Elephas maximus indicus: one gene and its partners. The protein of the gene in region 1 purifies or fractionates together with the protein of each later gene. This does not show direct contact. Links are inferred from orthologs where the notes say so. Each region holds a gene or a part of one and is shown in the gene's direction. Other genes may lie near its edges. The genes, in order: USP15, SMAD2, TUT1 and GLUL.

Region 1 (7,693 bases):
TGCATTCTGCCACTTGCTTTAATTCCTCATATATACAACGCAGATAATAATACTCCTTAGAGTTGCTCTGAGGATTAATACTTGTATTTAGGATGATGCTTGACACTCAATAAACAAACCAAAACAAACTAATGTCTTTGATCCAGTTGTGACCCATAGGGACGCCATGTGCATCAGAGTAGAACTGCACTCTATAGGGTTTTAATGGTTGATTTTTTGCCTCTGGGTCGACTTGAACCTCCAACTTTTTAGTTGGTAGCGGAGTGCATTAACCATTTTCACCACCCAGGGACTCCAAGATGGGTATTATTATCCCAAAGTCTATGATTCAACTAAGAGTTAAGTGCTTTGCAGCCAGAGGCTGAAATGAGGTTTGAACTCAGATTCCTGTGATTCCAAAGAAGTCTTTCCAAACCATGTTGCTTCTCTTGAAAAATTCTTTGTTCTCATTCAGAGGTTGGGTAGAAAAGGGGAAAATTGTGGCCCTTTGAAGGTACCCATGGTTAGAGAAACTCTATTTTTTCAGTCTGTCAGAAGCCAAATAATATACGAAATAGCATTGATGGGAAGCTGTTATCAGACTCTCAAATCAAGGATGATGTAATTGTGAAACAGGATTATTACACAGAAAGTAAGCAATCAATGCTGATATAAACAAACCATGTCAGTATACACTCCTTTCACTTGGAATTGTTCAGCACTGGTTGCTGGCATAGCAACATCCATCTTTACTGCATTCCAACCAGATGAGTTTTCACTGGCTAATACTTTTCAGAAAGACTGCCAGGTCCTCCTTCCTAGTCTGTCTTAGTCTGTAAGCTCAGCTGAAACCTGTCCTCCATGGGTGACCCTGCTGGTATCCAAATACCGGTGGCATAGTTTCCAGCATCACAGCAACACACAAGCCCCCACAGTACGACAAGCTGACAGACACGTGGGGGGGGGGGGGTGGCGACTATACACATGGACCTCGCCAGATGGAGCATACAGAAATCAAATTGACTACATCTGTGGAAAGAGACAATGGAAAAGCTCAATATCATCAGTCAGAACAAGGCAAGGGGCCACTGTGGAACAGACCATCAATTGCTCATATGCAAGTTCAAGCTGAAACTGAAGAAAATCGGAGCAAGTCCACGAGAGCCAAAGTATGACCTTGGGTATATCCCACCTGAATTTAGAGACCATCTGAAGAATAGATTTGACGCGTTGAACACTGGTGACCGAAGACCAGATGAGTTGTGGAATGACATCATACATGAAGAAAGCAAGAGGTCATTGAAAAGACAGGAAAGAAAGAAAAGACCAAGAGGGATGTCGGAGGAGACTCTGAAACTTGCTTTGAAATGTCGAACAGCTAAAGCAAAAGGAAGACTTGATGAAGTAAAAGAACTGAACAGAAGATATCAAAGGGCAGCTCGAGAAGACAAAGTAAAATATTATAATGACATGTGCAAAGAGCTGGAGATGGAAAACCAAAAGGGAAGGACACGCTTGGTGTTTCTCAAGCTGAAAGAACTGAAGAAAAAATGCAGGACTTGAGTTGCAATAGTGAAGGATTCTATGGGGAAAATATTAAACAACCCAGGAAGCATCAAAAGAAGATGGAAGGAAGACACAGAGTCATTATACCAAAAAGAATTAGTCAATGTTCAACCATTTCAAGAGGTAGCATATGATCAGGAATCAATGGTACTGAAGGAAGAAGTACAAGCTGCTCTGAAGGCATTGGTGAAAAACAAGGCTCCAGGAATTGATGGAGTATCAATTGAGATGTTTCAACAAACAGATGCAGCACTGGAGGTACTCACTCATCCATGCCAAGAAATGTGGAAGAGAGCTTCCTGGCCAACTGACTGGAAAAGATCTATATTTATGCCTATTCCCAAGAAAGGTGATCCAACTGAATGTGGAAATTATAGAACAATATCATTAATAACATATGGAAGCAAAATTTTGCTGAAGATCACTCAAAAACAGCTGCAGCAGTATATAGATAGGGAACTGCCAGAAATTCAGGTGGGTTTCAGAAGAGAATGTGGAACCAGGGATATCATTGCTGATGTCATATGGATCCTGGCTGAAAGCAGAGAATACCAGAAGGATGTTTACCTGTGTTTTATTGACTATGCAAAGGCATTCGACTGTGTGGATCATAACAAATTATGGATAACATTGGGAAGAATGGGAATTCCAGAACACTTAATTGTGCTCATGAGGAATCTTTACATAGATCAAGAGGTAGTTGTTCAGACAGAACAAGGGGATACTGATTGGTTTAAAATCAGGAAAGGTGTGCATCAGGGTTGTATTCTTTCACCATACCTATTCAACCTGTATGCTGAGCAAATAATCCTAGAAGCTGGACTATATGAAGAAGAACGGGGCATCAGGATTGGAGGAAGACTCATTAACAACCTGCGTTATGCAGATGACACAACCTTGCTTGCTGAAAGTGAAGAAGACTTGAAGTACTTGCTAATGAAGATCAAAGACCACAGCCTTCAGTATGAATTGTACCTCAACATAAAGAAAACAAAACTCCTCACAACTGGACCAATGAGCAACATCATGATAAACGGAGAAAAGATTGAAATTGCAAGGATTTCATTTTACTTGGATCCACAATCAACAGCCATGGAAGCAGCAGTCAAGACATCAAAAGATGCATTGCATTGGGTAAATCTGCTACAAAGGACCTCTTTAAAGTATTGAAGAGTAAAGATGTCACCCTGAAGACTAAGGTGCACCTGACCCAAGCCACGGTATTTTCAATCACATCATACACATGTGAAAGCTGGATAATGAATAAGGAAGACAGAAGAAGAATTGATGGTTTTGAATTGTGGTGTTGGTGAAGAGTATTGAATATACCATGGACTGCCAAAAGAACGAACAAATCTGTCTTAGAAGAAGTACAACCAGAATGCTCCTTAGAAGCAAGGATGGCAAGACTGCATCTTACGTACTTTGGACATGTTGTCAGGCGGGATCAGTCTCTGGAGAAGGACATCATGCTTGGCAAAGTACAGGGTCAGTGGAAAAGAGGAAGACCCTCAACAAGGTGGATGGATACAGTGGCTCCAACAATGGGCTCAAGCATAATGATTGTGGGGATGGCGCAGGACCAGGCAGTGTTTCATTCTGTCGTGCACAGGGTCGCGATGAGTCGGAACTGACTCGACGGCACCTAACGACACCACCACCACCACCAGATGAGTTAGAAAACCAAAAACAAAGCCATTACCCTCCAGTGGATTCCTACTCATAGTGACCTTACAGTGGTTAAAACCAAAACCAAACCCATTACCATGGAGTTGATTCCAACTCATAGTGACCCTACAGGACAGAGTAGAACTGTCCCGTAGAGTTTCCAAGGAGTGCCTTGGAACTGCCAACCTTTTGGTTAGCAGCCCTAGGTCTTAACCACTATGGCTACCAGGGTTTCCACATAGTGGTTAGAGTAGGCATTAAAAATGGGAAAACAAGAGAGCATAGGGATGTTTTCCCATCTTTTAGACTTTTCACATCATTTTGCGTTGTCTTAACACCAAGTCTCTGGAACCTTTACTCTTTGAAATACTTAAGCAGTTTTGACAAAATTAATTAATTAAATAAATATTTAGATGGCTTTTATATGTTAGGAAACACTGTGCTAGCCACTAGGCATACAGAGGTAAAAAAGATGGACTCAGTTCCAACTCTTGTGGCGTTCCCATTTTAGTTCAGGCTTTCAATTACAAGAGGTAGTGAGTATGCTACATTTAAAAGCACATGGGCTTTGGACCCTAGGTTATAAACTTGTCTCTCCACTTACTAGCTGTGTGACCTTAGGTAAGACCCTTGATTTTTTGAGACTCAATTTCCTCATTTTTAGCATAATTGTAGCTTCAACTAATACTCAACTGCAATTACCATCCAGTTACATTTCAGGTGTACGTACCATGGGAAGATAATGGGAAAGGACTTTCCTTCCTTTTAGTACCTGGTATTTTTTTTATTACTCAATACATATTTTATTACTCAATACATATTTTACGCCCTGTTCACCGAGGAACTGGGACACGCTTTTCACTGCACTTTAGCTGTCTGGGTGTGCCCGGGGAGCCGTCACAAAGAGCCTATAAAAGGTCCCCACCTACACCAGCAGTAAGAGGGCTCTAGGAAGTCCACGATGAGCACTGCGTCCAAGCGTTCGGTTTCGGATTGTACTTTGGGCCAACACTCACCGAGCCTGGGTACCGCGACTCGCAATGAAAAGACAAGAGTCACACACTCGCTAAAATTTTCTGCCATATCTTAACCGTCCCCACGCCCCTCGTCCCCACCCCACCCTCAACAGTGAGCGAATGCGCAAATAAGGGTTTTCAGGCGTCTGTGGGAAAGAGGGAGGGGAAGGCAGAAGTCAAGCACAGACCGGGCCGTGGCATCGCTCAAGAGAGTGAGCGCCCGGCTCCCCACCGAGGAAAACCGGGGTCCGGCCCGGAGGAGGCCGCGGCCGGCACGAGATGCTGGAGAGGCGGGGGCCGATGGGGGGGAGCAGACCACGGTCACGCAACCAGTCCGCCCCGGGGACTTCCTCTTGTCCCGGGTGCATCGCTCCCACCCCCGGCCCTTTTGGTTTCGACCTGGCGGCTGGGAGGGGCCGCAGGACGCCATTCCCACAATGCTCTGGGGCGTGCCGCCGCCGCCGTCGCTGCCGCCGCCTCCGCTACCGCTAGTGGAAGAAGATGGCGGAAGGTGGAGCGGCGGATTTGGACACCCAGCGGTCTGACATCGCGACGCTACTCAAAACCTCGCTCCGGAAAGGGGACACTTGGTGAGAGAAGGAGGTTGAGGTGCCCGCGGTTTCCCGGGGATGGTGGGTAACTGGGCGGGAACTGCGGACTGGTGTCTTTCGCTAGTGACAGGTGCGGGTAGGTCCGGCGGCTGCCGCCCTGAGCAGCAGGATTTTGGCCGCTGCCGAAATTTGGGGGCAGAGGTTGGACTGGAGGTGAGGGTTAGGGTTCGTGGCCTGTTGGGGCGTGCTGAGAGATTTGTGGGGATCAGAGCGGCGGCTCATGCAGTTCTCTTCGTCCTCCTTCCTCCCATAGTGCCGCTCCCACCTCAGGCCTTTCCGAACCATAGGTTACAGTTGTTGGTTTTGAGTTCTTCAGTATGTTTGACAGGTCTGGGTCCCGCGGTTTGTTACGATCCCATCCGCTTTACTTCTCCAGTCATTTCCTTTCCGGGCATTGTCGGCATCCAAGTTGCCTCTTATTCTGATTCTCGCATTCTTCCGGGAGGCAGGCTGCAGGATGTTTGCGGTCCGTACTATACAGGTGGCATGTGTCAGGGCGCCAGTTAAGAGAAAGAAACCGTAGTTTGCAGTTCCTTGTCAAAAAGAGGGAGAGAAGTAGGGAACCTTAGGCTTTTGAGAGATACCACGTGGTCTTGTGCTTTAGTGGAGGCTTGATAAAAGCCGGCACCGTTTTTCTTGAAGTACAGCCCTTCTCTCCTGTTTCAGGGATAACATAAAACATAGGCCTGCAAAAAGTAGGTAAGTCTGTTTGCCGCTTAAGTAACTTGCTAGTTTGGAAACTTATAAAATACCAGAGGATATACACTTAAAATACTGAATGAAGTATGTGGAGATTTTAATTTTGATACTTGTCGGCCTTATCAGTTGATTTCCAGAATTAAATATGTGAATATGTGACATGAAGAGAAAGTACTCAGTTTATTAGGAGGGAAGGTGAAATCAAGTAGGCCTATTGTATGATTCGTGTGTAGTATTTAAAAATATTCCTGTATCACTTTACTGGAACAGCTAAGGAATATAATGTAGTTAGTGTAGCTTTTTATTATAAGAAAAAATTATTTCCACTTCCCACTGTCTCTGTAACTATGGTATGTAATTTACAAAGTGTTTTTTCAGATACTGTAATATAGCTTAATGGAAAGAGCATAGAATTTAGACCTGAGTTATGTCACAGTTGCAGTAATTAACTTGCAGTATAACTTTGGGGAAAGGTAATTTAAATTATTGCATTTCAGTATCTTCATCTATGAAATGGACAATAGTTTTTTTATAAGGGTTTTATCCTGATTCAATTAAATACTTAAAATAGATTTGATACTTAAGAAAAGTGTTAAATTTTAGTTGCCTTTTTATCTCCACCTTTTACTCCTAACAAAATGCTGTGATATTAGGGTTGGGACTTGAATTTAAATACTTTGATCTAAGTCCTGGTACTTTTTTCCTACTTTGTAGGCTGCGTACTGTGTTTATATGATAAAAATACCTGTGGGTGTCAACATATACTCGTTGCATTACAGCACAAAATATGACCTTTGAATAAATAATTGTTATTATTCACATTGGAGCATTCCTAACATGTTTATTTCTTTGGAGAAATTTGGCTACATATCCTAGGATAACCTGTATTTACTTTGGCCTGTGGGTTTTTAAAGATGAAATCAATCCTTGCTCTATTTGTTAAAGAACTTCTAAGAATTCTTAATTTATCTAGCCCATTACCCTGTGTAAAAACGTAAATGTGTATTTCCTTAAAATAGAAATATGTAAATTAAATTTTGGATTATTGTTTCTCTTTAGTCTTGTTATACTTTTGGTATACTGAGTAATCATTGGTATTGTTGGCCCTATAGGATGATAGGAGCTGTATCTATACTGTGGGCATTAAACTTTTTAAATCATGGTATTTTTCAAATAAATTTTTAATTCTGGTATTTTTCAAATAAATAATTTTTGCTTTTTGACAAAGTTATTGTAAATCATTTTAAAGAGTAAAATACAGGGGGTCCATAAGTTTGAGTCATTTGAATGTTTTCATTTTAAAGAAAACCGAAGCCCAGATATTTTAGGGAACAGCAGAAGGTACAAACTTTTATCTTCGCATTAATTTTTCTTCTCATTTAAAGGGAGGAAAATGAACTTGTATGAGCAAGGTGGTGCTGAGGAGTTGGAGAAATCTGTTTCGTTTATATGCGAGCCAGTTTGTTTTCCAAATTAGCCGATGAAACCTGTCTTGCTTCAAAATAGTGTAGTGTAAAAGTCTGATTGAGAGTTTGAAGGAGAATAGCTTGAGTAAAAATCCGACAGTGTATTTGTGAGCTCAGCACTGGTAAAGATACCTACAAATTTAGTTGTAACCTTTTAAGCTTTTTTTAACCTTAGTGTTAGTCTTTTCTGGGTGATTGGGTAAATCCTATCTGTTTTTATGTAGCTGAAATGGGCCATTTGTAAATGGAACATTGCCTTGGTGTATGAATATCACCATCTTTGAAAGATTGGGCTACTGAGAAAAAAATGGTAGATTTACCAGAAGTTTATTCTCAAAAGCTTAATTCAAATGTTTGAAGTTACAGTCAAATGAATTTTTAAAAATGTATTTCACAAGTTAGGCTGTGAGTGCTTTGTAGATAAGGGCTGTCTCATAGTAGTCTGGTAATTCTAACGCCTAGGCAGGTAATAAGATGTGTTTGGTTCTGGATGAATGCTAGAGTTTCTGTTTATTTGTAAACAATGAAAGATTTTTATCTGCAAACTGCTTACTTGTCTAGATGCAAAAATAAATAAGTCTGAAATGAAGAACAAACTTTATGATACATGTGGTACTAGACTTTAAAAAGTAAGTCATAGTTGATTAACAAGAGTAATACCTCTTAAAAGGTGAAGTAGAAAAGTGAC
Region 2 (7,121 bases), on another chromosome or scaffold:
AAGGAACTCATTGACCACATATGGATATCATTCTGACCAAAGATAGAAAGTTCATAGATGAGTGATATAGCTTTGGGCTGGGGTAGAAAGGAAGGGCTTTACAGATTTACTACAGAAGAGATGGAAGATGTGTCATTCATTTTGAACAGCAACACATGAATATAGTTTTAAAAAATCAAACTACAGAAAAATTAACAATGAAATACCCATGACTCCCAGGCTCTCTTTCTCAAAGCAGCCACCATTACCATTTTTCTTTTGTGTCTGTCTAGTGGATGGCAAAAAAAAAGAAAAAAGTGGATTTAACTACTTTTAAATGGATTCTGAATTGATTTTGATTGATTTTTCAGTGTCACGCATCATGAAGGGTTAAACTTGGGGTCCATCCATATATAAATTAGACTTACTCAGTGTAACTTATACAATAGGAACCTACTGATAGATCTTGAAGTGTCCTAGTGGATTTCCACGCTGATTGTTGCCACAGCAATCCCTGCCCCATCTGCCTTCAATTTCTGTCTTGACCCACTTTGGTTTAGATACTTTTCTAGCAGAGGGACAGTAGGCATGCTCCCATTTGTAAGCCTGTTGGGGACTGCATTGGTAGCCAGATTGCCCCTCCTCCCCTTTCCTCAATCCTACATATCTTGGAAGACTACCTGAGTGGAAGAGTTAGAGACCCAAAGTCCAACACTTTGGAGAGAGGCTTTAACTTAGGCCAAGCATATTACCCACTGAATGAGTGTACCCTCCAGACTGCCCAGCTTCCATACTGAGAGCAGATTCTTCTGGAATCCCGGTCAGCTCTGTTTTTGTTACCACACCTGCTCACCCAGGTGGGCACTCAAATCCACACCCTGGTCACATAGGAGAATGTTTGTGTGATGCAGGACAGCTTTTTATAGGCTGTTTCTTATTAAAACTGTTGATCTGTGCTAGCAGGATGAAGGACCAAAAACCAGAAACAGCCTTTATACTTCTAAGTTGTGTAGCTGGTATTAGTTGTCATTGGACCACCTCCGTTTGACCAAAGGAGCCCTGGTGATCAGTGGTTAAGAGCCTGGCTGCTAACCAAAAGGTTGGCAGTTCAAATCCACTAGCAGCTCCTTGGAAACCCTATGGGGCAGTTCTACTCTGTTCTGTAGGGTCTCTATAAGTCAGAATCAACTAATGGCAACGGGTTTGGGTTTGCCCATGACCATGTTCCCTGGTGGCTCTGGGAAGTGGGAACACAAAGCCAGGAGGTGGAACAGCTCCACCACTTGTCTTCCTGGGTCTCCTTCACACGCTATTTTATAAAAAATGGGTGAGTAAGGCTGCCTCTAAACCAACCATGAAGAAGCCACCCTGAAAGTAAACTTTTTGACGGAACCCCTCCTGCTGAGTAGGCTCATATTTGCATAATGCATACAGGAACAGAAAAGAAATGTTGATTATCGACTTTCTTTTAACTTCAAAGCACTATGCTACTCATTTGCATATTTATTATTCTACTTAATAATCACAAAACTACATTTAAATAGGTATCATTGCAAGTTAGTTCCACTTGCCAAAGATCACGGATGTGGAAGAGCTGCATTCAAAACTACGATTTGCCTAACTCCAGGGTTCATACCCTTCATCACCTTTCAATCAGAAAAGTACTTCCATGCTTTGGGAGAGAGATGGAGATTTTGAGAAGAACTCTGGAAAACCTGTAAGACTCAGACAGAAGGCCAAATATTTCTCAAAGTCCAGCTGAGATTTCCTCCACTTCTGGAAACAGTACACTTTGAGGACTCTGAAATGCTCATTTGGTACTTCTTAATTCGGTATTGCTAGTGATGCTGTCCCACTTGAGTCACTGTGATGGTTAAGATTGTGTGTCAACTTGGCTGGGCCATGGTTCTCAGTGTTTATATGTGATCACCCCCATGATGGGATCTGCTGTGAGTAGCCAATTGGTTGAAAGGGAGTTTCTTCAGGCTTGTGGCCTGTATCTGAATATAAGCGGATGCTCTGGCTTTTGCCTGCTCTGGATCCCACAGCTGGCTCCCGTTTGCCTGACCTCCGATTCTTGGGACTTGAGCTAGCAGCTTACCTGCCAATCCTGGGATTCATGGATCTTCACAACTTGTGAGCAAGAGCCCTGCTCTCCGTCCTGCCGATGTTAGGTTCGCCAGCCCCTGCGGCTACGTGAGTCAGGAGAAGCCTCTATCTTAATTCATGGACTTGGGACATTCCAGCCTCTACAATCTTGTGAGATGTTTCCTTGATATAAATCTCTCTCTGTATGTATTCATATGCTTTACTGGTTTTGCTTCCCTAGAAAACCCAGCCTAAGACAGTCCCCAATTACATTAATGAAGTAGTACATGAGAGAGTGTTGGGCAGGGAGCCAAGAAAACTGTGTCCTAATCTTGTCTCTAAGGAGGCCTGGTGGCACAAACGGTTAGTGGTTGGCTGCTAACTGAAAGGTTAGCGGTTCAAATCTGCTGAATGGTTCTGCTGGAGAAAAGACCTGGATATCTGCTCCAGTAAAGATTACAGCCTAGGAAATCCTTTGGGGAAGTTCTACTCTGTCCCATAGGATCACTATGAGTTGCAACTGACTCCATGGCACCCAAAACAACAGTAGTCTTGTCCTTGCCACAAACTACCTGTGTGAAACCTGAGATTCTTTCCAACTTCAGTTCTCTGGTGCCCCCTGCCTAACGTAAACCAAAAAAACCAAACCCTTTACAGTCGATTCCAACTCATAGGCACCCTATAAGACAGAGTAGAACTGCCCCCATAGGGTTTCCAAGGAGCAGCTGGTGGATTCGAACTGCACCCAAGTTGTCAACCTAACATAGTCGGTGCTTAAAATTTTTTTATGATTAAAAACCCATTTTGGAGTCGATTCTAACACATAGTGACCCCGTAGGACAGAGCAGAACTTCCCCGTTGGGTTTCCAAGGCTGTAGATCTACAGAAAAGTAGACTGCCACATCTTTCTCCCAAGGAGCTGCTGGTGGGTTTGAACTGCTCAGCTTTAAGTTAGCAGGCAAATTCTTAACCAGTGCACTACCAGGGCTCCTCCTTGATGTGATTACCACTACACCGCCAGGGTTCCCTTGAAGTGATTAGTTAGGTTTAATATTCTCGTCAGCATAGGTTTGGGTGTCCCTACGGTAAACGCGGCACGGTTATCCGAGGGCGGTTGCACCCCAGCCTTGGGCAGTCAGCAGCTTAGGGCTCTGCTGCCTTCCCTGGCGCAGATGTGTCAAGTTCAGGCCTGGGAACATACTGGTTGCAAGAAGGCATGCCAAAACTGTGGAGAAATGAAAAACGGAAAATAACCCAATAATTATTAGGCATATTGCCAGGCGCTTATCTTTTTAAACTTCACAACGATGGTTCAGAAATGCATTATTAGCACCACTGTTACTGAAACTGGAAACCAAGATGCAGGTTACACCAAAATACCTGGTATCCCTTTCCCTCACCCTAAATACACAGAGAAAGTACATCCCTCTGGCTCTCGGCTTATTTACATCTCGGACCCCGCCCCCGCCTAGCACCACGAGGGGCCACGCCCACTCATTTGCATACGGGCGCGCCCAGTTGCGGGCGGGTACCGGGCTCTTTCTGTCCCTTGCCCGTCCTATTCTCGGGGCAGCTAGGAGCCTCCCCCAGGCATGAGCACGTGCTCACCCGGCTTAACGACGGAAAGTGGACGAGGCAGCAGCCCCCAAATCGGCCCCACCCAATGGCGCTGGCAGGGACCAAGGAAGGGGCCCAGGAAGCGGCAACGAGAGCCGGTGGTCGCTGGGGATTATTTTCCCAGCGCGGCAGGTTACGTGCCTTCCACTCTTCCCTCCCTTTCCCAGAGTCGCTTCTGGGAGGGTGCCGGAATTGAAATCAGCCGAGACCGCTCGCGTCCAGCCCCTCCTCGGCCTCTGCCGCCAGCCGGCCGCGCCTCGCCTCACGCTCTACGGGGGAGGCGGGACCAATCAGCGCGCGACGTCTCCCTTCCGATTCAAGGCTCCGGACGCTAGGCTCACACCCCGGCCAGCCCGCGCGCTGATTGGCTGCGAGCGCCGCCGGTCCAGCCGGGTGGGCGGGGCGGCCGAAGGGAAAGGGAGGCGGGGAGGTAGTGGCCCGCGACTCTCGGCGCCCCGCTCGCCCCCAGCCCTTCCCTTGGCGCTCGGCCTCCTTCCTTCCCTCCTCCGCTCCCTTCATCTGCTGTGCGCGCGGAGCGCTCTGCTCGGCCGGCGTTCCTCGCGCCCTAACAGGCGGGTGGGGGCGCCAATCAGCGGGCGGCAGGGTGCCAGCCCCGGGGCTGCGCCGGCGAATCGGCGGGGCCCGCGGTGGGAGGCGGGTCTAGCCGCGCGGCCGCGGCGGCGGAGGAGCAGCTCGCCAGCCAGCAGCCAGCGAGCGCCGAGCGGGCCGCCGGGAGGTGGGTGCGCTGCGCCGCTGCGGCCGCGGTGTGAGGGCGGCGGGCGGAAGCGGAGGTGGCCGGTGGGCGCGGCGGGGGAGGGCTTGGCGTCCGGGGCCGGGAGGGGAGGTCCGGGCGCGCGCGCGCGAGGGGAGGAGGGGCGGCGGCGGGACGCGCGCGTCCCCACCCCCTCCTTCTCCGGCGGGCGGTGGCGGCCGGGCCCGCGACCCTCCCCTTGCCCGGCTGCGCGCCGGGAACTGAGCTGGGGGGCGGGGTGGGGCGGGAAGCCGGGCGGCTGGGAGTGTTTTCAGTTCCGCCTCCAATCGACCATTCCCCTCTTCCCCTCCCAGCCCCCTCCATCCCATTCGGAAGAGGAAAGAACAAAAGGTCCCGGACCCCCGGATCTGACGGGGCGGGACCTGGAGCCCCGGTCCAGGTAAAGCCCCCGTGCCCGGCGGCCCTGGGGGTAGGGGTGTGTTTGTGTTTGGCTTGGGTCGGTAAGATTCGCCGTGTCACATGGCCACGGGCCGTTGGGGGTTGGGGTGTGGCGGGGTTGGGGGCAGTGGGTGCGCCGGGCTTTCGGATGGACGAGGATCGAAGGGGCCAGGGGAAGGCCGAAAGGGAAGGGGCCAAACGTGCCAGCGCCGCGTCCTGGAGCTGCGGGCGAGCCTGGTCCGGGGCGCGGGCCGATGTGTCTCTTCTCCTCCGCTGGTAACACACTTGCTAGTTTGTGGTTCTGATTTTTAAAGTCGAAGGGACAGAGCTCTTATTTCAGGAGTTGTTGGAAAGCCGTGTTACGAGTGTGAGATACTTTCTTTGCTTCCAGTTTTTTTGGTCTTGCAACCTTTGTTAACCATAATAGTCTCCGGTTCTGAATTGCTTGTGTGTGCTCACATAAACACGCACACGGCTGCTACTCTGTCGAGATCATTCTTTACTCGGGAAAGTTGCTTCGTGAGTGGAGGCGATTAGTTTTTATCACCCGCCTTGAGAAAGCACGGTAACTTATTTCGTGTATTTAAAACTTGGTTTTCAAAATTGCAACTTTAATGATTTTTTTCTCTTTTGGTGGACTACTGGCCTTGGGTAGTGTACTTTTGTCTGCTGCTTACTTACTCTCAGGTAGTTATGCTTTCCTTTTGATCCCAAACAAAAGAAAAACAATACCTAGGTTGGTTTTGTTATTCCTCCCTCTTGACCCTTTAGAAGCCAAATACTGTTGGTTTGCTGTCAGCAAAACCTTTGTTGAAAAGAATTGCTAGGCAAAACGAATTTGGAAGTAGTATTATCCGTCAAAGTCATGTCTTGTTTGCTACAGTTTGGAGTATATCAGTTTTGGTGTCTTGAACTACATACAGTAAAATGATTATAAGTAAGTGATCACACAAACTTATCTCAGCTTTTCAAAAATGGTCTCTGAAAATTAAGTTAATTTCCAGAATTCTGAATGAGTCTGTATTTCCTTTTCATTTTCTCTCTTCTAATTTCATACGAATTGAACCTGTGCCACTGATAGTAAAGATGTTTTCCTCTAGCCTAATAAGATAATAAATTTGCTGTTATTATGCTGAAAATACATTTGTTCTAGTTTTGACCTCTTTTAACAAAAAGATTCTAACATGGAAGTATAACTCAAATAGTTAGCAAAGCATTTATATTAAATTCAGAAAGTAATACTGATTGTATTTTTAGAGTTTCTCAGTTTTTGTCATAAAGTGTGGTAGATAGTAAATAAAATGTCTTTGGGCATTTCTAAAGTGAGTGCCCACTTTCTGTTAAAATCTGCTATTGAGTTTGAAGGAGTTCATTGGCCATTTTTATTTAGTGTTGGAAACATCTGTTTCTGTATTTTAGTAAAATGTTGCTCTTAGAAGCTTGGTTTTTATACTTTGTAGTACACCTTCTGAAGCAGTGATTTCTCATTGTAGATGTTTAACAAAAGTTTGGTTTTTCAAGGATGTAACTGTGTATCTAGTCATAAGTGGTCAATTTCCTACACAAACTATAAGGTTCATGAAATACTAGTCTTGTAAGAAACTGTGCAGGGTAATTTCCTGTTGTTTGTGGCTTGTCAGCCTTGGTAATATGTTTTAACTCTTAAGTAGGAATTTTGGGGATGATTTTGTGTATTTCCAGCCTTCAACTCAGAAGTTCTCCTTAACAGGAACAAAGGTTGTTTCTACTTCAGGTTGGGGGGGGGTAGGGGGTGGGAGGCTGCCCTTTTCATTGTCATATTGTAAACGTTAGGATTTTGTTGCAGTAATCTCATTACTTCTCACTGGGGGACATAATGTGCACTAGAAACACTCAGTTTAGCTGCATAAACTGATGAATGTTTACATTTTGAAAATATTTTCACTTTTGGCTTTTAGGCCTAAAAGCTTGCTTTCTTCTTGTTGGGTTTTGATTCTGTTGGTTTTGTATTTTAAGACTCCAGAAGCCTCGTTTTGTAGCAGCTTTTTTGTACAGGTGTTTTTGTAATGCATATAAAAGCTGTATTAAGTGCAGTCTGGCAGATGGAAGTTTATTCATATTCTTGGGACAAGAGTCATTTTTAGGGGGTTGAGAGGGGCGTGTCTTTTAGCTTCCTCCTATTTTGATGGGAGTGGAAGAGCCATTTTTAGGCCTTCAGTTTCTGTAAAGGAAAGTGTTTCCCACTAAGTATTGTAAGGGTGGTCAGAAAACTTCAAAGGTAAAGATTTCGGAAACAGTTCAGGAGACG
Region 3 (7,123 bases), on another chromosome or scaffold:
GCATGTGCAGGGACCTGTTACAACCGAGGAGGGCTGCCCGACGACCTTATGCTCCTATCAATGCCAATGCCATCAAGGCAGAGTGTAAGGGCAGTGGAAGGCCTTGTGGCGGGTTTCCCTAGATGTTAATGACGGTAGGGATGGTAGGACACAGATTTGACATGGCTCCTGGCCCCAGCAGAGGCCTGAATTGTGAAGCCCCTTCAGAAGCTTTAATCTTATTTCTCCAGGCTCCATCCGACTTCCTAAGGCTGCCAAGACTCCACTGAAGATTCACCCTCTGGCGCGGCTGCCCTTGGCAACTATCGTCAAAGATTTGGGTATGGGATGGGGAACCAGACTGTGGATATAGGCTGGGCATAGGACAGGTGACCCAATTAGGGTGGAGGTAGGCTCCTCCTACTCCCTTTACTGTCAAGAACCTTCCTTCTCCCTGCTTTTTTTTTCCCCACTGAGTTCTTAAAAAGTTAGTCTAACTGTGTTTTTGTATGTTAATGATTCTTTTCATAAGCTACCCAGTATTACCATACTGATTTGGTCAGATCACAGTCCTGTATGATTTCTGAAATATTGGAAATAGCTTACCAGACCCTTCCCGATTGCTACTTTTGGAGATGCCCAAGGAAACTATGCACCCAGGAGAAAGAGATGGAGTTGAGAAAGGGAAACTGTAGGGAAGAGAAAGTGTCAAAGTTCTCTAAGTTTTATTATTTTTTTCCTGGCAGTGGCCCAAGCACCTTTGAAACCAAAAACACCTCGGGGCACCAAGACACCTATCAATAGAAACCAGCTGACCCAGAACCGAGGACTGGGGGGCATTATGGTCAAACGGGCCTATGAGACTGTGAGTTGACAGGCTGGGGTGGGCCAAAGCTGAGTTGGGCATGCTTTTATTCTGGTAGGAGTCTGAGCAGGTCCCCTCCCTCATTGTGTTGCCCCACCCTTTTCCAGATGGCAGGGGTAGGGGTCCCCTTCTCTGCCAATGGAAGGCCTCTGGCCTCAGGGATTCGCTCAAGCTCACAGCCAGCAGCCAAGCGTCAGAAACTAAACCCAGCTGATGCCCCCAATCCTGTGGTGTTTGTGGCCACAAAAGATACCAGGTAGGGAGCCCACCATGGGAGGGGCTGAGAAGTTGATAACCCAGGTTGGTGGATATGAGAAATAGGAACATCTAAGCAAGAGCAAGCAGCTCCAGGAAGACTGGTGGTGCAGGGAGGGGCAGTGCTGGGAAGGCAGAACTGCCATGTGGAGTTTCACCTTGGGGGTCTTAGCCTTCTTTCTTCCCCTCTCTTGGCCAGGGCCCTGCGGAAGGCTCTGACCCACTTGGAAATGCGACGAGCTGCCCGAAGACCCAACTTACCCCTGAAGGTGAAGCCATCGCTGATTGCAGTGCGGCCCCCAGTTCCTCTGCCTGCACCCTCACATCCTGCCAGCACCAATGAGCCCATTGTCCTGGAGGACTGAGCATCTGTGGGGAAGGGAGGTGGGCTGAGAGGTTGAGGGTAGGTGCTTGGGCACCCAATCCTCCTTTTTTTCTAGTATCAAAGGGAGTGAGGCCTGTGAAGAGGGAGCAAATGTGTGTCCCTGGAGGGGGTGGGCGCCCCCTGGTGGCACCACAGCTGGGCTTGTCCCCTCCCCATGCTTCTCTGTGCCTGGTGATGGAGGACTGACTGCAGGGACTTGGCCTATGTGGGAACCTGGCCTGTTTTGTCGAGTAGGACCCACAAATTGTCTTGGACAGTTTTGGGGGGAGGGTTTTTTAATTTTTTAAAAATTTTGCCTCCCTTTGTGAAAGGGAAGGGGGAGGGGAAGAGTAAACAGATGTCAGGTGGTTGTACCTGATTGGGGGAGGGGGGTGTGCACTGCCATGTCTTTTTATTTTTTTCCTAATTGGGGGTTCTCTTCCTGTCCGGTGTCCGGACTTTCCTAATTGGAGTTTGAGGCCCCTAAGCTGGCATCAACCCCAGCCCATGCTCGCTCTTTCTTCCCCCCTCCCCCTCTGCCTTTTGTACGCCAACTCTCAGAAATAAAGATCTTTTGTCCATTTTTTTAACCCTAGATTCTGTAATTGGTTCTTATAGTAACAAATAAAAAGCTGTTTTCTTCAGCTCCTCCCGGCTCAGCTGTTCTCTGCCATGGATATGCGTGGGGGAAGGGAGGGGAGGTCTTCAAGAGGGAAAATAATAAAGGACAAAGGATTATAAAGCAAGTACAGATGGGGCTTGCCCTGGAAACAGCTTCTTTATGAAATATGGACTGAGGCTGCCTGCTGTAGCCAGCCTCGTGGGCCCAAATTCTACCCCCCACCCCAGGATCCCCACAGCCCCCAGTGGTGCTAGAGACCAAGCACCATCCTGGCCAGATTCAGTCAAAGCAGTTGGGATGAACTGCCTCTGGATGGCTGGTGGCTTCCCGAGGAGCGGGGTATGACTGCCGCTTCCTCTATTTCCCCAACTCTTATTTCCCTCTGGAATCCCTGGGTGATGCAGATAGTACCGAAAGGTTGATGGTTTGAGTTTACCCAGAGGCACCTTGGAAAAAAGTTGATCTACTCCAAAATCAGCCATTGAAAACGTGAGAGATCACAGTTCTCCCCTGACACACATGGGGTTACCATGAGTCAGCATCGATTCTACAGAAACTGGTTATTTCCCTGTCCCTTTTTCTTAGGAAATTCTGGGAGTTGCTAGAGGCCAGAGGCCGGGGCACGATGTAGGCCACCTTAGCAGGTACCGCAGGATCTTACCACCCAGCTCCAGGCTGTACTCAGCCTGCAGCATCAGGATTCTCAGAGCCTCAGCAACTGCCTTGATATTGGGGCCCGATGCAGTGCTATTCTCTGCCTATTTAGGCTTGGGAGATAGAACAGATACCTGAACAGGGCCCTATAGGACGGATACCTCAGGAGAGAAGACAGGAAGGTCAGCTTACTGTGTGCTCCTTGGGCCCCTCCTTTAGAGATGGGGGACAACCTCGGCAAAGTGACTTGCTCAAGGTCACAGCCCTTGGTATGTCTGCCTCAGGTCCACTTTGTATAAGCGAAACCACAGCATAAACTGTTTAAAATTACGATCCCCTCCATCTCGGTCTGGCCCCTGCCCCCAGGGTCTCCCTAACTCTTTTACTCACTTCCGGTGAAGTGAGCCCACACCAGCAGCCGTGTCTGGGGAAGAACAGAACACTGTACCAGCTTGAGGGCGGCAGCAGCACTTCCCTCCTCCAGTGTCCTCATTCAGCTGCCACCACGGCCGGTGTCTTCAGCGCTGCCTTGAAGGGGGCCAGTGACTGGCGCCTCGTGAGTACACTCCACGCAGCCCACTAACGCCGAAGGCAAGTGGATGCAGGGATGAGTCTGGCTCACCCAGGCCGCGTGATCTGGCTGCGGTTCCACGGAGTCGGCAAGGTAGCCGGCGGAGGACGGGGCAGAGCTTCCCAACCAAGGCTAGGCTGCACAGAGCCGTAGCGAGGGGGGCAGAGAGGGGCATTTGCCGCCGGGCGCAAGTACAAAGGGGCGTCGGATGAGGCCGGCCGGCCGGCCGGAGAATCACCCCCCTCCCCAGCCGGCGGGCTGGGGCGCTCGTGACCCTCGTTTTGGGGAAGGCCCAGGAGGGAGAGGGTAACAGTCGTGAGGCGGTTGGGAGTCCAGGGGCAGCCCCAGGCTTCGTGGGGCAAAGAGTGGAGACTGTCCATCCTCCGCCTTTACTCCCTGGGTAAGTGAAGGGTTACGGGCGCAGCCGCGCGGATGTCTACCGTGCTTGAAAGGGGCGCTCAGCCGGCCCGCGACCACCCAGCACCGAGGCGGCCGGCTGTCTGGAAAATGGCCCGAAACGCAAGACGGCGCTTGCCTTTGTGGCTACTGTGTTGAATATTCATGATCTTTGAACCAATCATCGCATGATTATCTCAGAGCACACCAATCGGCTCACCGCATGCAGATAAGCATCGTAGATGGGCGGCTTTTCTTATATCGGTGGAGACTGCACCCAGGCTAGAAACGGAACCCTGAGTGGAAAGCGATGGGTTTCCGGAGGGGGTGTGCCTGCACGAGTGCCGCGACTACGTCACTTCCCATCCGAGCGGCGGAAATTGCTTCCGAGCGCGTTGCTATTTGGAAGACAGGGTTCTGGCGAAGGCAGAAGTGCTTGTTTTTTTTGTCGGTATTGGGAAGTGACGATGGCGGCGGTGGATTCGGATGTCGAATCGCTGCCGCGTGGGGGTTTCCGCTGCTGCCTCTGCCGCATTACTACAGCGAACCGTAAGAGTTGGCTAGCGAGGGGGTGGATGCGGGCTCTCATCTTTTGACCCTAGCGAAAGTTAGGGTTAAAGGTCATAGTTCCTGTCAAGTCGGTTGGTGGGATCACCCAGTTCCGTTTTCGTAGGCCGCCGCCGGTCCGAAGGGATTGAAGAGGAGAAAGTCCCATCACTTTATAGATCTCCTTCCCCGTATCCAAGACCTCGACGACGAAAGTCCCGTTATTTTATTCCCTCTTCAGCCGTCATCTATTGGACATCTGCCCTGTCCCTGCACTCTGCTGGACCCTAGGGTGAAAGAAGGGGGTTCAGAGATGAAGGAGCTGACATCCAGAGAGGGAGACACTTTCAATACACTATAGATGTGTTTGGAGAGCTGTGGGATTAGAGAAGGCAGTAATTAAGAGTTAGGCAAGTCTTACAGAGAAGTGACCCAAAAGCAGGGATATGTGAAATAGCATGACAGGCTGCGGTGATGCAGCGTAGGATACCAGTGAGGGAGGGACAGAGAGTGAGTTTGGAAAAGTGACAGATCGTAGTAAGACAATGCAAGGGGCTCAGTGAACCCTCCGATTCTGATTGTGAACTCGTCAATCATGATCTTCCCTAAATGGGGTCTTCTCCCTTCCTCTGTGAATGGCAGTCTCACCTGTCCAGTAGGGCAAGCCAGAAACCTAGGAGTCATTAAGTCTTCCCTGGCCCCATATCTACATTGGTGACACCAAGCAGCAGACTCAAATATAATAAAAATAACGATAGAGGCTAACTTTTCCACATTTACCATGTATCAGACTCTCTGATAAGTGCTGTATCTGAATAGCACCTATGTAGCAAGTACTATTATTACCTTCATCTTATACCTGAGGAAACTGAGGCAGAGAGGTTTAGTAACTTGCTCAAGGTCTCACATAGCTTGACAGAGCAGGGATTTGGATTTGGGTAAGTGACTTAAAAGCCTGCACTTATAATAATCACTGTACCATACCCAGAGATGGTCCATGGGGAATAGTCTAGGGTCCTGAGTTACTTAGTCCTTCCATATATAACCTGAATAAGTCATCTCTTCATGTCTTCACAATTGGCAGGTGTTGCTGCACCTAGTACTTACAGATGGCTTAAGATATATTTGTAGTGTAGCCTTCTCCGGGGAACCACTTGGAGAATATATAGGGACAAAGGACAAAGGAGGAAGGTAGAAGAAGAAAGGAGACAGGACTTTGTTTATTCAAAGGTCACACTTAGTATAACTTTGAAGGATCAGTAGAATTTAGGTGTGCAAAGAGCAAAGGCAGGGCAGGTACAGTGGAGGGTGATTTGGGTGTTTTTGTCTCATGCTTGTCTTTGCAGGACCCAGCCTAGATGCCCACTTGGGAGGCCGAAAGCACCGGCACCTGGTGGAACTACGAGCTGCTCGAAAGGCCCAGGGACTTCGAAGTGTGTTTGTCAGTGGCTTTCCCCGGGATGTGGATTCTACTCAACTGTCTGAGTACTTTGAGGCATTTGGGCCTGTTGCCAGTGTTGTCATGGATAAGGACAAGGTACAATGAATGACTCTGGGGGTGTAAAGAATGAGTCGAGTATGCCACATACCAAAAGAGACATGAGAGAGAAACCAGCAGCCTATTTTGGCTGGTTCCTAATGTGGCCTGTCCTTGGTGGGACACCACAGTACCTAAGCTAGTCCTGTTTTGTGAGCCCTCCCCTGGATTTTATCAGTTCACGAGGAGACTTGTTAGATTTAGTCAATCTGTTATTCACCAAATATTTGTTGACTGCTAGCTTTGTACTAGGCACTGTGCTTAGAGCTGTGTTCTGAGTGATGAAGTAGGTGTTGTTTCTGCTTGCACAGAGCTTACAGTCTAGAGAAGAAAGTAGACAATTAAATGACTACAGTGAAGTGGGTGCTTTAAGAACACACCTTTGGGGGACTTTCAAACCCCAAAGCAACTGGTTGATAAACCAGATGGCAGTTTATTAATTTACCCTGAGGGGTCCTGAGGTTATCTGGTTAGAAGACCCTGTCCTAACTTTTGTCAGTGTCCTTGATAAAGTTTACTGTCACAGTGCTGTGTTCTTTGGCCATATTGTAGTTCTGAGGCTGTACTCTGTTAAGTAGACATGACTTAGGTGATGCCCAAGTGTGGTACAGTGAATTGCTTAATATGGCTCTTCCAGCTGTAGTCTTTGTGATTCTCACACATGATTGGTTAGGACTATGCAAATAATGTGCTTGTGGCCCACCAAGAGGATTAGGCAGCGTGCTGCTAATGCAGATAAGATGTATGGAACTTGTGATGGTTAAGGTTATGTGTCATCTTGGCCGGGCCATGATTTTCAGTTGTTTGGCAGTTATGTAAAGATTTAATCATCCTCCATTTTGTGGCCTAATGTAATTGTCCTCCATTTTGTAATCTGATGTAATTATTCCCAGTTTTGTGATGTGTTGTAAATCCTAGCCTCTATGCCTGTGATTATGGTTCCATTTGGGAGTGAGTTTTCCATTAAGTTAATGAGGCAGGATTAGGGTGGGATGTACCTTGAGTCACCCCTTTACTAGAAGGTGTGACTCAAGTCACCACCTTTTCCCCAGTCACCACACTTATTCAAGTCACACCGTTGCACTGCTTTGCTCAAGTAAGAAGAGTTTCCTTGATGCTGTGGTCCGCATCCAATATGTATGTGAGTGCTCCGGCAAAGCTCTCTCTCTTGCTCTGAATTCTGCATCTGGCTCATCATCTGACCTCCAGTTCTTGGGACCTGAGCCAGCAGCCTGTCTTCTGACCTGATTGCCGGCTCCTGCAGCCTTGCGAGCCAGCAGCCTGTTATCTGACCTGCCGATTTGGGTGTCTCAGCCCTGCAACCACGTGAGTCA
Region 4 (7,617 bases), on another chromosome or scaffold:
AATAGGACTTATTTCCCCATGTTCTTAGCTAAGTGAACTTCATTCTCCCCAACTCTCAAAGTGGTTTCCCATTAGAGACAAGATTTGGGGTAGGCGTCGAACAGAGCGAAACCTTCAGTCATAACACGAGTTTTGGGAAATGGAGTTTTCCCTGTATTTCAATGATTTCAACAAGTGTTCAACAAACCTTACATTGGGCCGCAGAGAAATGGCTGAGGCTTAAACTTCTAGCTTCCTCTCCTTTCATCAAATAATCAGAAAGGATATAAAAAATAAATTCTCTGAGCCTACAGTTAGGTACTGAATTGAAGTATGACCTGGTCTTTTCTTCTTTTATTGTGCAGAATAAATCTGGAAACTTGGCCACCTGCAGCTTCTCCATAAAATATGGTCTAAGAGTAATGCTATCAACTGCTAGAGTTGTCTTTTTCTCTCTTTTGTTTTTGCTTTAAGATTTTACCGTAATCTATCCTTTTGGAAAGAATTGGTGTTGGTTTATTCAAAAACAGACTAGTTTATAATTCTGGGCTGGGTTTCCAGGATGTTCCTCAGTCCTGATTCTTAGCCGTGTCTCTTTAGCCCAATTTAAGGCTTTGCTTGAACATTCATCGAAATCATCCAAATATAGAGAAAACTTCCTATCTCCAAACTGCACACTATGGCCAAAGGTTTGGGTTGGCTTGAGCCCTACTCATATCTTGTGAGTGTAAGGCACCCGCACAGGCTCTAGGAAAGCACTGTCTTGTCACCAGGTTATAGGGTTCAGACCTGTGAATGAGAATGTCATTGTCGTTAGTTGCCTTTGCGTCGATTCTGACTCGTGGTGACCCGTTTGCAGAGTAGAACTGCTCCATAGGATTTTCAAGGCTGTGACCTTTCCGAAGTAGATCACCAGGCTTGTCTTCTGAGGCGCCTCTGGGTGGGTTCGAACTGCCAACATTTTTGCTAGTAGTCGAATGCTTAACTGTTTACACCACCCAGGGACTCCTTGAGAGTGAGTCTAGGTCCTTTAAAGACCTAGAGAAAGACGCTGAGAGGACAACTCACAGGTAAAGCCCACCCAAGAGAAGGCCTTTATTTCAGGCAGCAGAACAACACTGCAGAAATGTTTTCCATCTCCAAACATTTCTGCAGATTTGGAGCAAAAGTTTTACCTGCAGTGCTGGTCTCCCACTCCACCCACCCTGTGGACACAGCTACTCTTCTCTAAGACAGAAAAACATGACTTCAAAGTGCACGCATTAGAACCCCACCAGCTTTGAAACTGTACATACCAAGAGATAGAAAGGTTCATGAGTTCAAGCATTCTAAGGCTCTTTTTATGGAGGGGTGGAAAGTGGGGGTGGGTGGCAATTTAGGGAAGAAAGGGAGTGAGAACAAAGGGCAGCAGACACAGCAAAGTCAAACTGGATGAAACAGGCTGTTCCACTTTTAACTTCTCTAAATGTACAGTCTGGGTCTCTGGAGGCAAACCGGTCGGTTAAAGGACTTCTTCTCATGCATTCTTAGGCTTCCCTGGTCACTCCTTGGACTCACTGGGGCCCTAATTCGATGGGCTTAAGAAAGTGTGGGGCTGACCAAGGAGGACAAGTCCTCTGGTTCACTCCGGAAAGAGTCAGTGGTCGGGTATTATGTTCCTATCCCTCACAAAGCACGCCCCTTGTCACATGAACGGATCAAAGCAAATCCATTTCCATTCTTGGAAAAGCAGCTCAAAGCACTGGTTCTCTTGATGGTGCCGCTGTCACTTCTGTGTAGTCAACAAACATCACTTACTGGACACTGTTGGGGGAGAAAAAGATGAATAAGCTACTCCAGGAGGTTAAAATACTTAGCAAGGAAAGTAGGCACTTGCATCATAAAACGCGACACTATAAACTAAAAAAAACTGCATTTGCTTCTTCATATTCCACCTTCCATTAATGCTTGCCATAAACCACGGCCTTCCAGTGCAGTGGCTGGTGGTAAGGAGTGCTGTGGAAGTCGGTGGTTTATGGCTTGGCAGTTTGGTATCTTTGTAAATAAAAACATCACCTCCCCCTCCATCCAACCATTTAAACTCAAGACTTCACAGAAAGAAATGGAATGAAGATAGCTCACTCTGTTCCCAGGTGTGAGCCCACTTTCATAAAACTAATGGTGGTATATTTCACTGAGTTAGAAAGTTGCATTTAATGGGTCTCAGTGAACGGCTGGTATATGGAAGGAAACAATCCAATCTTTTCAAATTATCTTGGCCAATAATAATTAAGAATATTTTCGTAAATATTTACTACGTCCCAGGTACTATCCTAATCTCTTTTACATGTGTTATCACAATTAATCTTCACGATAAAGTAAAAAACCGGTTCCCATTGAGTCAACTCTGATTCATGGCAATCCCATGTGTGTCAGAGTAGAACTGTGCTCCACAGGGTCTTCAATGGCGGATTTTTTGGAAGTAGATTGCCAGGCCTTTCTTCCAAGACACCTCCGTGTGGAGGAACCTCCAACCTTTGGGTTAGCAATGGAGCACATTAACTGTTTGCACCACCCAGGGGCTCCACAATAATAATTTTATAGGCAAGGAAACTGAGGTTTAGTGTGGCTAAGTAACTCAGTCAACACAAAGCTAGTAAGAACTAAAGCCCAGATTTGAATCTAGGTTTGTCTGACCCAAAGCCCAGCCTTGAACTACCACGTTATAATGCTTCAACATGCAACACTTAAACTTAATTTGGAATCCCTTAGATTTGTGAGGTGCCTTACTGTGTTTTTTTTACTGTGTCCAGAATGCCATCAGTTTGAAACATTCCAAAAGCCCCTGTTTGATATGAATGCTGTATTTATCAGTGAAAAGCATTACAGTGTTAGACACACTTTTAAAGGAAAGAGATGTTGATCAAAGAAGCCAAGTTATGTGTGTGGTTACAGGCAATATTTCTTTTCCATATTTGTGGTACAAAAAATAACCAGAAGAAACTTCTTTCCTTCCTCTCCCGAAGGTACTGGGAGCACGGACTCTTGGCCTTCAAACAGAAAAATTGCAAAGTCTTAAAGGCTGGAGCTTGCAACAAACCAAAAAACCAAACCCAGTGCCATCCAGTCGATTCTGACTGAGCTCGCAAAAGATGCAATAAAGGTTAGAAACCCTGGTGGCCTGGTGGTTAAGTGCTATGGCTACTAGCCCAAGGGTCAGCAGTTCAGATCTGCCAGGCACTCCTTGGAAGCTCTATGGGGCATGTCTACTCTGTCCTATAGGGTCACTATGAGTTGCAATCGACTTGACGGCAACGGGTTTGGTTTTTATTATTATTTTTTAATCATCAGGTAGACTTTGGGCAATAAAAATAGAACGGCCAAGTAACAGGACTGGTAGCAAGAACAGTATTTTAAAAATAGGATTACTGTGCATCTGTTGACAAGCATCCATTTTCAAGGCTGCACTCACATGTTTTCTCAACCATCACCGCAAGGCTGAGAGGAGCAAAAGCCAATTATTCCCATTTTATAGATTTAAAAGAAGGCCTAAGTTACTTGCAAAGCAAAAACAGGGAGAATTTAAGGAATTCTAAACTTTTGAGGAACCCTGGGCTACCGCGGGGCCATGAGAACACCTCACTTTCATCTGCTCTTGGGGAACAGTTTGCATAAAAGCACAATTTCAAATCTGGCCAGCAGCCCTAAAGGTCCCTTCAAACTGCTTTGTTTTGCATATGAAGAAACGGGCCCAAGGAGGCTGAGTAACTCGATTAAGGACTGACAGAGACCTTCTCAGACAGGTCTCCTGACTGTTTCTACCGCCCGCCGAAATCTTCTCAATGGAATTATATAAACACCGCAAGATGATTAAACATGTGAAATAGCAGAGTTCTGTCCACTTCCCCAAAACCCCTGAGAGAACTGGGGAGAGGGCTCTTCGTGGACGCTGGAATCCCGGGCCTCCCATCAGCAACCCCCTCTGGAGCCTTCTCGAGCCCCGCACTCCGACGCAAACAACCACGAGCGGGCCGGTGGGGCGGGGGGCTGGTCACTAACACCAAAAGCCAATATGTTTCCGTGGTTCAGAATTTCCACCTCTGGAGTCCGCGGTATGACCTCGTAAAAGATGAAATTCTCCTTGCAAAAAAACAAAACTATTCAACCCGAAGGCAGCAGCGGCGGCTGCCCGGGGAGGTTTTCTAGGAGGCTTGGAACTCGGGGCTGGGGGGCTGCAGGGCCAGACCCAGGTCGGTGCTCTGGGCTGGGCGCGGCGGCCCGGGGTTGTTTTGCTCAAGCCTGCTGCAGGAAGGGTCCTTCCTCGGCGGGAACCAGCGCCCTCCGCGCGCAGCCAGCCGGCCAGCCCTTCTTCCCTCCCCTCCTCCCCAAACCCTCCCCTCCTCCCCAAACCCTCCCCTCCTCCCCAAACCCTCCCCTCCTCCCCAAACCCTCCCCTCCTCCCCAAACCCTCCCCTCCTCCCCAAACCCTCCCCTCCTCCCCAAACCCTCCCCTCCTCCCCAAACCCTCCCCCTCCCCCACGTCCCTTTCTCTTTCTTTCCCGGCTCGCGCTCCCCCACCCGGCGGCGCGCCCGCACCGCTCCTCGCCCAATGGCCGCTGTGCCCGGGCGCACATCAGCTGATCAGCCCGGGCTCCCGGCCGCTGGAAGCCAATCAGGGCGCCGGGGGCGGCCCCTGGCCGACGATAAAGGGTGTCCGGCTCCGGGCCACCCTTCAGAGCCGAGGATGGGAGCAGAGTCGAGCGTCTGACCTGTCTACCTGGCCTCCTCTCCTCACCTCGCTCTCGCGGCCTACTCTCCCTCCAGCCGGCTCGCCGCCCAGGTAAGCGCCTGGCTGCCCTCGGGGCGCGGAAAGCAAGCGTGCCTTTTCCCCGGCCTCCTCCCCGCCGCGGCCCCGCGGCCTTTTCTCTTTGGCCCCTTCCCTGCCTCCAGCCCCCTCCTCTGCTTTCGGCCCCCCGGGGGTGTCGAAGACGCGCGCGTGCTTCCGCCGTCGGTAATTCCGGGCGGACCTGGGCTGCCGTTTGTGGGGCGCGCCCTTATCAGGGTTTTGAGAAGGGTTGGGGGGGGTTGTTTTGATCTTCCTTCTGCTGCAGTGGCCCACAGGCAGGCCCTGGAGGCCTCGGCGGGCAGAGCCGTGGAGCCCCTCGCCTGGGCGGAGCCCTGGGCTCGGGGTGTTTAGGTTGTGGAGGGAGAGGCTGTGTTCCGCTGCGGGAGCGCACGCCGGGGCTCCTGGTAGGCGCGGGCGCCTCGCTCTCTTCCTCCGCGTGGTGGCGGGTTTTGGAGGTCGTGGTGGTGTTGATTATCTTGTAGACGCCAACGTTGAAGGGAATAACCATGAGTGTTTTGTTTGCGTGGCTGCTTCCCGCCCCGGAGACCGGGGAAAATTCTGGGCCTTCCACTTATGACCGAACAATGGGGAGCCCGGCACCGCGGCGTTACCCGGCGGGTGCGGCTAACGGAGAGGCCGGGCCGAGGCGGCAGCCGCGCACCGCCCCTCCCTCCGTTCATCCCTCCTGTCGCCGCCCCGCTTCCCCCAGCCTCTGCCCTCAGAGGAGAATGGCCCCCTTGGTGAGGCCCTGAGATCCAGACCCGGGGGGGCGGGGCGCCGACGTTCGTGACATTTCAGGGCGTAGGGGCTCGTCTAAAAGTGGATTCCAACTCCCCCGGGGGCAGGAAGCGGGGCCGCTCCCCTAGCCGCAAAGCCACAAAGTACGATGCGGACGACACAGAGTCGCGGTCCTCGGGGTCGCCCTCCAACTGCTTTGGGTTCGTCGCCTATTCGGTGAAGTCCGGAGAGAAATCGCGATTCAAGATTAAGGCCTTAACCCACCAGCCTCAGTATTCCAGCATCCCCCGACCCGAGGGCTCTCGGTCTGCATCTCCGTCTCCGTCCCCCTCTCCCAAAAAGATCCGGTGTCTGGACCAGCGAGAGCCGGAGATCAAGGAGGAGCGTGAACAGAAATCAAAAAAGAGGAGGGCTAAAATAGAGGGAGCCCCCGGAAATATTACTGACCTCCATTGGCTGGGGTGAGTGAGAGGGCAGAGAGAGAGGACTCCGGAGCCGGTGGCAGCTGCAGAAACAGCTAAAAGCTTCAGAGTCCCATTTTTTCCCCCACGTAAAACTTGGCACCGTGAAGGCACCAGTTGCTAAAGTAGACTAGGCTGCTGGCCTCCGCTTCTGATCACCAGAGAGGGCAGGAGACGCTTCACCTAGACTTAAGAGAAAATGTGGCTGGATTTTGGAGGTGAAACAAACGGGTTGGGGAGGAAAGCTGAGAGTGGAAAGCTTTTCTTGGAAACAGAAAGGATCAGGATCGTTCCTGCTGGTCATTCAGGCAGGGATGGGGGAGCGACGTGATTTGACAGACCAAGTCTTATAGATGGAATAGGCAAAGGAGGTTCTTTTCCCCAAGGGAGAAGGATGAGGCTGTTGGAAGAAGCAGTTATGTTTTCAGCTGGGCAAACATGGACCGTTGCCCATAGAAACTTTGCCACTGTACTTCAGAAAGTTACCCAAGTCATTGCAAGAGAAAGAACAATGTGTTCCCTTTCCAGCCACCCTGGGCCTTTGGTGGGGGAGGGAGGAGAAAACGTTTCCTCTTGTTTTGTGGCCTCTTCTTTCTGGTTTTTGTTCTTTTCAGAAGTTTTGTAGTGGTGGCTAGTGTGCCTCAGAGCTTTTGAAATCCCAGAGTTTTTTGGTTTAGAAATGGGAATTCCTATTTGAGAAGTTGTCTAGTGGGATCTCAAGAATATTGTCATTCTCAAACTTAAATATGAATGAGCCCATGTTCTGAAGTGACCGACAACTTTGCATCAGACCAATGGAAACTGTGGTAGTGTTCACCTTGGAATCCGAATTGGATTGGTAGCTGTTTTTACATCTTGGTGATTGTAATAACTGTCATCCTTTTATTTCATTTTTGTAGGAAGCCTCAGCCTTCTAAATCTTCTGGGTAGCCTGGTTTTTCATCCTTAAATCTAAATGGTTGGGTCTGCCCCCTACCCTTCAAAGGGAGGGAGAATCTCCAGAAAGGGGTTTTTATTAAGAACACAGCTAGAATGAAAGGCAAAGGGAAGATTCAGCCAGAAACCATAGCAGCCAAGTCTTTCTGTGTCTGGATTTTACTTTTATTGGGAGAAGAGAACAACTTTTAAAACATTTCTGAACCTTAATAGTTTCTTGTTTTTGCCCCTAGTTTCATAATATAAGAAGCTTTCTAAACAATTCTACCTCAGCTACACTGAGGGATAGGGGTTAGTCCTCACAAGTCTAGATTCTAGCTTGGGGAGGGAAGCCTTGGATTTGAAGAAGCTGCAGAACTTCAACTTCTGAGCCCAAGGATGCAGAGAGGGGTCAAGGGTTACCACCAATGGCTTGGTCTTTTCTCCAGTAAGTATCTGCTTTAATCTCTTCAAAAGGTGGTACTCAGATTTTATAGCCTTATAAAGAGAGTTTTATCTGATATAAAACTTTAATACCCCAGAAAGCACATTGGATAAATACACCTATGGGTATGTGACTTCAAAGGCAGTGGCCGCCACTCTCACCCTGACTTCTTGAGGGTAGTGTTTTCCTTTGATTTAACTGTCTCTCTTGAACCACCGCAAGGATTCGGTTTGCAGTTGGTGTTCTGCGCTCTG

The links.
Region 2: the proteins of USP15 (region 1) and SMAD2 purify together in Homo sapiens (affinity purification with western blotting; 4 studies listed by BioGRID). This does not show direct contact. The link is inferred for Elephas maximus indicus from reciprocal best matches to the Homo sapiens genes USP15 and SMAD2.
Region 3: the proteins of USP15 (region 1) and TUT1 purify together in Homo sapiens (affinity purification with mass spectrometry; 4 studies listed by BioGRID and IntAct, with this or other methods). This does not show direct contact. The link is inferred for Elephas maximus indicus from reciprocal best matches to the Homo sapiens genes USP15 and TUT1.
Region 4: the proteins of USP15 (region 1) and GLUL purify together in Homo sapiens (affinity purification with mass spectrometry; 3 studies listed by BioGRID, with this or other methods). This does not show direct contact. The link is inferred for Elephas maximus indicus from reciprocal best matches to the Homo sapiens genes USP15 and GLUL.

What each region holds. Positions count from the first base shown.
Region 1 is NC_064822.1:122,511,976-122,519,668, forward strand, and holds the start of USP15 (ubiquitin carboxyl-terminal hydrolase 15), read left to right. Parts: upstream 1-4,673; 5' UTR 4,674-4,730; coding exon 4,731-4,819; intron 4,820-7,693. UniProt on the Homo sapiens protein: Hydrolase that removes conjugated ubiquitin from target proteins and regulates various pathways such as the TGF-beta receptor signaling, NF-kappa-B and RNF41/NRDP1-PRKN pathways.
Region 2 is NC_064829.1:56,507,139-56,514,259, reverse strand, and holds the start of SMAD2 (mothers against decapentaplegic homolog 2), read left to right. Parts: upstream 1-4,101; 5' UTR 4,102-4,420; intron 4,421-4,749; exon of another isoform or gene 4,750-4,835; intron 4,836-7,121. UniProt on the Homo sapiens protein: Receptor-regulated SMAD (R-SMAD) that is an intracellular signal transducer and transcriptional modulator activated by TGF-beta (transforming growth factor) and activin type 1 receptor kinases.
Region 3 is NC_064825.1:125,773,992-125,781,114, reverse strand, and holds the start of TUT1 (speckle targeted PIP5K1A-regulated poly(A) polymerase), read left to right. Parts: upstream 1-4,084; 5' UTR 4,085-4,173; coding exon 4,174-4,255; intron 4,256-5,598; coding exon 5,599-5,789; intron 5,790-7,123. Other genes in the region: metastasis-associated protein MTA2, read left to right, coding at 1-84, 231-320, 726-844, 952-1,100, 1,299-1,464. UniProt on the Homo sapiens protein: Poly(A) polymerase that creates the 3'-poly(A) tail of specific pre-mRNAs. Localizes to nuclear speckles together with PIP5K1A and mediates polyadenylation of a select set of mRNAs, such as HMOX1.
Region 4 is NC_064842.1:45,558,945-45,566,561, reverse strand, and holds the start of GLUL (glutamine synthetase), read left to right. Parts: upstream 1-4,592; 5' UTR 4,593-4,798; intron 4,799-7,617. UniProt on the Homo sapiens protein: Glutamine synthetase that catalyzes the ATP-dependent conversion of glutamate and ammonia to glutamine.